Daphnia pulex: one gene and its partner. The protein of the gene in region 1 purifies or fractionates together with the protein of each later gene. This does not show direct contact. Links are inferred from orthologs where the notes say so. Each region holds a gene or a part of one and is shown on either strand. Other genes may lie near its edges. The genes, in order: DNA polymerase epsilon catalytic subunit A-like and MMS19 nucleotide excision repair protein homolog.

Region 1 (3,289 bases):
GCAAAGCATACAAGAAAGTTCGTGTAACGCGCACTGAAGAGAGACAACAAACAGTTTGTCAAAAGGTTCATAACTTTAACGTAGCGTTTCAATACCGATACTTAATAATCAATTGTTTTTGGAGTAGGAAAACAGCTTTTATGTTGACACCGTTCGAGCCTTCCGTGATCGACGATATGAATATAAAAATCTGAATAAGACTGCCAAGAAGCAAATCGCCGAAGCAATTGCGCTTGGGGATGCCGGTGAAATTAAATCGGCTAAAAATCGTGAAGTGCTTTACGATTCCCTACAGCTTGCTCACAAGTGTATTTTGAACTCCTTCTACGGTTACGTCATGCGAAAAGGAGCCCGTTGGCACAGTATGGAGATGGCTGGAATTGTGTGTCACACTGGCGCTGGCATCATCCGGAAAGCTCGAGAGCTAATCGAACAAGTTGGTCGACCGCTTGAACTGGACACAGATGGTATTTGGTGTATGTTACCGTCATCTTTTCCGGAAAACTACGTGATCAAGACCTCAAGTCTCAAGAAACCCAAGATTACGATATCCTATCCAGGTAATGGCTACAATCAAAGACAAAAACATTTCAATTGATTAATATTACGTGTCTTTAGGAGCTGTATTAAATGTGATGGTGAAAGATGCCTTTACAAACAACCAGTATCACGAGTTGGTAGACCCAGAAACTTTGAGCTACGTCCAGCGTGACGAAAACTCGATTTTTTTCGAAGTTGACGGTCCGTATCTAGCGATGATTTTACCTGCGTCGAAAGAAGAAGGCAAAAAGTTAAAGAAACGATACGCCGTTTTCAACTTTGACGGCAGTCTTGCCGAATTAAAAGGATTCGAAGTGAAACGTCGTGGAGAACTTCAGCTCATCAAGATTTTCCAATCGTCTGTGTTTGAAGCGTTTCTCAAAGGTAAGAGAACATTTGCCAAAGAAAAAAATATCTGAAATGTAATGAAATTGTTTTTGTTTTCAGGTGATACTCTGGAAACATGCTACCAGGCTGTGGCTAAAATTGCAGATTACTGGCTTGATGTGTTATATTCAAAAGCCGAAAACCTCCCTGATTCCGAGCTATTTGAGCTGATTACCGAGAATCGATCAATGTCACGAAAATTAGAAGAATATGGTGGTCAAAAATCAACATCCATCAGCACAGCTAAACGTTTGGCAGAATTTTTGGGTGATCAGATGGTAAAAGATGCTGGGTTAAGTTGTCGCTTCATCATTTCAAAGAAACCAGAAGGTATGCTAAGTTGTTACTGGACAACAAATGATGAGAACTTTTTACATTTCCATTGTTTGCAGGTGCCCCTGTTACGGACAGAGCTATTCCGTTGGCAATTTTTCAATCTGAGCCCAGTGTTAAACGCCATTATTTGAAAAAATGGTTAAAAGACAATTCCATGACGGATTTTGACATTCGCACAATTTTAGATTGGAATTATTACATCGAACGTCTTGGAGGTTGTATCCAAAAAATCATTACTATCCCTGCCGCCTTGCAAGGCGTGGCTAACCCTGTACCCAGGGTCCAACATCCGGATTGGCTTCACAAGCGAATGCTAGAAAAAAATGACGTTCTAAAGCAGCGACGGATCAATGAAATTTTTAAGGTGCGAGCGATTTTATTTAAGTCACAAAAATTTTTTTTAAATGAATCGTTGAATTAAGTGTATAATTAGATTAAACCAAAAATGTTTCGCGACAAAGATTTTTTTACCATTATTATAATAATTATTAATTTTTATTTCAGGTGTCTATCAAGCCAGTTGGTGGCGATTCTAACTCGCAAGATTTGGGAGAAGTGGGTGACATAGAAGATTTGGGTGGAAGCAAAAATACCGAAAACAATCGACCTACGGTGACTTCGAAAAGGAAACGAGGCTCCAGCGAGTCAGCTAATGAATTGGATAAGAATTGGCGAGAAATCCTCGGTCCTCCACCACCGATGGGTAAACCTGGAGAAGAGCGTGAAATTTGGATTCGCTATCACAAAAAGAAGTGGGCTATTCAGTTGAAACAGCGAGCAGCCCGTCGAGGTAGAGAACAAAACAGCAACACTGGATCAGCTTCCGTCTCGACTTTTGGAGGAAATTCTGGAGCTGGAGTTTTAAGAACCAATTTGGGTGGATTCTTGCGACGCGCACAACAAACCCTTTTGTCATCCATGTGGCAAATTTTGCAGGTGATGGAAACATCACAGCCGGGCATGTTTCGATTGTGGGCGTTGGTTGGAAACGAACTTCATCAAATTCGGTTAACTGTGCCGCGTATTTTTTATTTGAATAAGAAGAAACCTTTGGAAAAAGAAGCTAGTAGTGAGTCAGCTGTCTGGCGAAAAGTTAATCGGATACTTCCTCGCTCTCACCGTGTCTATAATCTGTACGAATACAGGTAAATAGTAAAATTATAATTCTCACTCAAATAAGTATTAATCTATTTACTCTTTATATGATATTCAGCGTTCCCGAAGAAGTTTACCAGCAAAATTTCAATCAGTTAATGGCTGATCTGTCCACTTCAGACAACGCTGGAATTTATGAAACCCAGGTTTGAAAACGCACTTGTTTGAGTTCCAACGAAAAAACTTTGTTTCATTTTCACGTTTTGTTCCAGGTGCCACTTGATTTTCGTGTGCTAGTCCAGCTCGGATGTGTTTGTGCCGTCGATCGGAGTCAGCGTTACACGCCCACCGGAGATACCGAAAGTTTCAGCCTGTCGCAGTTGTCGTTCAAAACGTTGGCGCACCATCCGTATTTAGAATCGGGAATTGAAACGCTCAAGTATCTATACATCTACCATTACAAAAGTGGAAATAAAGTCATGTTGGTGCTATTTTCTCCACCAGCCAAAAAGGTCAGTATTAAAAAATAATAATAGCGACAGTTTTTTTTGTTTGTTTATCTATCTATTGATTTATTTTTACTTCTTAGGTCAACTTTTTTGTCGTTGACACTGTGCGGACCAACCAAATGCCGAATTTAGTTAATCTTTATAATGAGGAGCGGCTTAAAAAGCTATCGCAGGTATGCTATTCATATATCGTAATTTGTGTTATTATTTTAACTTCCACTTTCACGATTAGGCTGACGTTGTCGAGAGTTCCGTGCCCGCTAGAGATTATTCATTTTCAATTCAAGTGGAGACAGATATTCGCCAAGTCTACCGTCAAATGAATCGTTTACTGCAAACGTACAAAGATGAGAAACGAGGACCAACTTTTGTGGCTATTCAGTCTCCCCAAGATCTTCATACGACTGCATCGCAAATTCAAA
Region 2 (4,261 bases), about 7.0 Mb from region 1:
AAGTTTGTTGACCAGAGCGGCTATTAGCCGACAGGCAGACAGTCTGACGTCGGCTTTTGGATGACAAACAGTAATGGGTTCTAGTGTGTTAACTAGTCGTTCAAGACTGTGTCCGCTAGGTGTGGCATCCAATGATCCCAATGTCGCTTCCATTATGGACAACGTCCACGGAGAACGAGCAAGATGTTGACCTACGTATTGTTCGGTTTGTTCGTTGATGAATTCCGTGGCTTTCCTGTACAATGCCGAGAAGATTACAAAAACATTTCTTCCAACATTTTGATCTAATAGAATTACGCGGAAGATAAACTGGAAGCCAGATTTCTCAATAAAACACAAGTGGCTTGGAGTGACGCCGGAGGATCTCCATCTTCCAATGTTTTCAATCCCCAGCGGTGCAATTGCTGGAATATTTCTAGTTCGTCCCTTTGTGCGAAATGAGTCAAAACTTTGAGTACTTCAAGTCGTAATTCCAGTTCGGGTTGTTCGAGCACGGTCATTAGTCGGGATACCACCTGCGCACGAATCTGGGACAACGTCGGTAGAGTTGATAACACAAGAAAAACCGCATTGGCTTTGCCTAAACAACCAACAGATAACCTCTTTCCGTATTTTAATTGGTAAAATTCAAATTACCTGAGACGGCTATATCTAACAGCTTAACCAAGACTTGCTCAAGGAACAAGTTTTCATTCTTCTCTGCGCTTTTGCAAAAGAAATGACCAATCTCTGCAATAACGCTATCGGTGGCTGTTGATTTCTGGAGTAAATCTAAAAGTGTTCCATTGACCTTTTCCAAGTCTTGGTGGTTCAAACAGGTGCCAATTAAATGGCTCAATCCTTGCAGACTTAGATTGCGAAGAACTGCGTCATCCTCTTGTAAGACCTCAAGGTACAGCTCTAACAATTTTGGTATCAGAGAAGCTACACCACTTTGAGCAACTGTAAAATATAACCAAAGATATGAAAATGTTTCTAATTTTAATAATTTTTAAAATGTGGTACCGTTTGCTTCAGTGAAACCATAGAGACCAGCATGTACCATTTTGTTCAAACTATTAAGGATGAACTGACGTGGATTTGACTGTGGCCTGATCCTGTACTGGTCCATCAAAAGGGGAATGACCTATTTAGAGAAATGGGTTTCTGTTAAGTAGATTTTAAAAAAAATGTTTGTAGTTCTATAAGAGAATAAGAATAATACCTGGCTAACAATTAATGCACACGCGGGCGCACTTCCCGAGCATATCGCTAGCAAAATGTAGCTGCTCGGAGTCATTAATCGCCGTTCCGGTTCACACAAGTGCCCCTGACATTCTATTAATATACAATCTACAGTTAAATATACTCTTAAACGAATATTTGCTACACATTTACCGGTCAGCACATTTTTTAGTAATTTGGTAAAAGCTGGACTGTTAAATTCTCCGTCTGTTGTAAAAGCTCGGGATAAAGCGGCAAGAGCATCAAGTGAGGCATGTTCAAGATCGTCGGTATTGACATTGATCAAGACTTCTCTACGTATACTCGTCCAGAAAGAGTCCACCCATTTTTCAAGTTGGCCTGGTTGATACGTCTGACAGCAGAGTTCCTGCAAACAGTCGAAAATTACAATAGAATTGAAGCATAAAGACTAAATATAGAAGGGGAAAATTACCAAGGTTTTTAAGGCTTCTACTTTAGCTGAAACCAAGTCAGATTCCAATTTCTCTTGCAGTAACGGCAAACAATACTCTGCGAAATGAGGGCTACCGGCAAGGCACTGTCGTAATCCATCACAGAGCTGTTCTTTAGTTACTGCATAAGGATCATTAGCTGGCTATTCAAAATAAGAGTATTAGGATTTACTGACATGTAGCAATAAACTGAAAATTTCAAGAGACTTACAGGGGTGAAATCGATAGGGAAGTAGCAACTAAAAACTTCGAAAAACTCTTCTGTAAACGGCTCGAATCTGAAGTAACGAGCAACTACAGGGAAAACACTGAAGAGAATCAACAAGTTACGTGGGTCTCTTTCTTGATCAGCTAACTGGATGAGACCAAAAACAAAATCTTGGCCTAGGTCTTGTAATTCTGTAAGTTTAAAAATAAAATTTAGAAAATACTAACACAGCATATATATTTAGAAATTTATAATTTAGACCTTTTAGATGAAAAGCCAAGAGGTTTTTCACTGTTTTGTAAATTGCTCTTCTGTCATGCTGCAATTGTGATTGACAATGAACATCTTGAAAAATGCTCTGGGATATCAATCTGGCCAATCCAGGGGAAAGCTTAGGTGCTGTGCTCTATGACAAGGTATTAAATTTAACACTTTTGTATTGAATAGTATTTTTTTTCATACCAAAGCATGGAGGCCTTGCAGTGCGGCAGGTAGTATTGAATGATGATCTTTTAGCTTGCTACAGAAGAACTCTGTTACAAGTTCTACTTCCTTTTCATTTAGTCCCTTCAATTCAGGCCCCAACTGTTCCAAGATTGTGCCAATAGTTGACACTGCTTTGCATCGGTGAGTATTTTGTTGATTCAGTAAATCTGGTTGCAAATCTTCAACTAGCTTGAGAATTGTTAATTCTTTTGATGCAATTGCTGAAAAATTAAACAAAGTCATTGATGTTAACTTGTTAAAATTATTAAACATTTTCTACACATATGTTTTAAATCTGGCGCGCTCATGATGGACACGTGTTTTTCCTTCTTTTTTTCTAATTTCGAACACTTGAGCGGAGTACGAAAAAATGTTTCTTTCAGTTATAATTATAAAAACTTACATTGACTAATACAGCGAATAGATTCATTCGCGGATTCTTCTGAATTAAACGAATCTCTGAGTTTGTGAATCGCAGTCGAGATCGCCATGTTTACTGTTTACCTCTGCCCTGATTATGTAAACGTCATCTGCTTTTAAATGACACATGGTTGCCTACCTCTCACATTCTTCTTTTCATGAACTGATTATTCATCGAATATATAATTTTGTCACAGATTATGTAATTGTAAACAAGCAACAGACTTTTGTAACAAATTTCGTAATTAAATATTGAATAACCGCATTCCAACATGTTTTGAAATAGCTTCCGTGAACGGAGGAAAATATCACCCAGGTTTTGTATTTTCTAGATTTTTCATTACGCATTGGAAAAAAAACAGATGGGTGGAGACTTCCAAAGTAAACTTTTATGTGATTCCGATAAATCGTGCTGGTAAGCATGGGAGGACTAGAAAAAGATAATTAATCGCGTCAAGGTCGCACGCGCAACGCATAGAACCAATAGACAGACGTATTTTTGAAGTCAGTTGTAGCCTGAACGTCCCATTATAAACGAGAGTCCCAAAACGTCTGTCGTAGCAGTCTTTTAGTAGACTACGTTACGCGAATTCCACTCACGCACAACAACTCAAATCGGCATTTCTCTTGTCAACCTTGAAATCTCTCTCTTCCACCACTTCCTTTAACGTGGTCCCGACATCTGTTGCCTTGGTGTTCGACAACGACAGCAACTTCTTGAACTGGAGCTCCCACCAACAATATTACAATGGGGCTCGAAAATTTAATTCTTTTGCTAGTACTTAGTATAATTTTTATGCCTGTTATCCTGGTAATTGGTTGCTTGGTGCTAGTGATGACATGCAACTGGTCAAGGAATTTCCGATCAGGATATGTTAAACTACTATTGAAGGTCTTTCAGGTAATATGTCTTATTCTTAGTATTTGAGTTTTCGTAATGCTCATAATCTTTTTTATACTAGTATGGAACTGGTAGGATAGAAATTGCTGAGCAGCAAAAGAAACTAGAGACCAATAAAGGAAAGAATGGCTATGCAAATGGAAATGTTGTGGAAGCAGTGGAACAAGCTGAGGACAAATTATCAACTGGACATGCCATTATAAAATCTTCAGCAATGTCCAAGGAAGATCTAGTACTTTTACCTAATGGAAACTCATCTCCAAAGACACCCTCCATCCCCAAAAACAGATCATTTAACAGTTTGAATAATGATTTTATTCTATCTGACTGCCTTGACTTTGTTCATGCGGGGGTGGAAGCAATCATTGAGGACGAAGTTACAGGAAGATTTGTAGCTGAAGAACTAAAGGTACTCAAATCTCACCTACCAATTTGGTTCACAGTATCTAACATTAAATTTGTACTTCCCAGTCTTGGAATCTTCTTACTCGCACAAACCGCCACTATGAGTTCATCAGTGTTCGCCTTACTATTACTTGGATTTTGGGTTTCTTTGTACGCTACTTCATT

What was found.
Region 2: the proteins of DNA polymerase epsilon catalytic subunit A-like (region 1) and MMS19 nucleotide excision repair protein homolog purify together in Homo sapiens (affinity purification with western blotting; 3 studies listed by BioGRID and IntAct, with this or other methods). This does not show direct contact. The link is inferred for Daphnia pulex from reciprocal best matches to the Homo sapiens genes POLE and MMS19.

Annotation. Positions count from the first base shown.
Region 1 is NC_060026.1:11,192,517-11,195,805, reverse strand, and holds part of DNA polymerase epsilon catalytic subunit A-like, read left to right. Parts: coding exon 1-65; intron 66-127; coding exon 128-560; intron 561-618; coding exon 619-924; intron 925-987; coding exon 988-1,257; intron 1,258-1,319; coding exon 1,320-1,627; intron 1,628-1,767; coding exon 1,768-2,408; intron 2,409-2,476; coding exon 2,477-2,564; intron 2,565-2,630; coding exon 2,631-2,870; intron 2,871-2,947; coding exon 2,948-3,040; intron 3,041-3,099; coding exon 3,100-3,289. UniProt on the Homo sapiens protein: Catalytic component of the DNA polymerase epsilon complex. Participates in chromosomal DNA replication.
Region 2 is NC_060026.1:4,198,350-4,202,610, reverse strand, and holds the start of MMS19 nucleotide excision repair protein homolog, read right to left. Parts: upstream 2,905-4,261; 5' UTR 2,862-2,904; coding exon 2,774-2,861; intron 2,592-2,773; coding exon 2,347-2,591; intron 2,291-2,346; coding exon 2,146-2,290; intron 2,076-2,145; coding exon 1,888-2,075; intron 1,820-1,887; coding exon 1,658-1,819; intron 1,592-1,657; coding exon 1,378-1,591; intron 1,318-1,377; coding exon 1,205-1,317; intron 1,127-1,204; coding exon 1,006-1,126; intron 943-1,005; coding exon 637-942; intron 581-636; coding exon 298-580; intron 236-297; coding exon 1-235. Other genes in the region: glycerol-3-phosphate acyltransferase 3-like, read left to right, coding at 3,539-3,691, 3,753-4,100, 4,163-4,261. UniProt on the Homo sapiens protein: Key component of the cytosolic iron-sulfur protein assembly (CIA) complex, a multiprotein complex that mediates the incorporation of iron-sulfur cluster into apoproteins specifically involved in DNA metabolism and genomic integrity.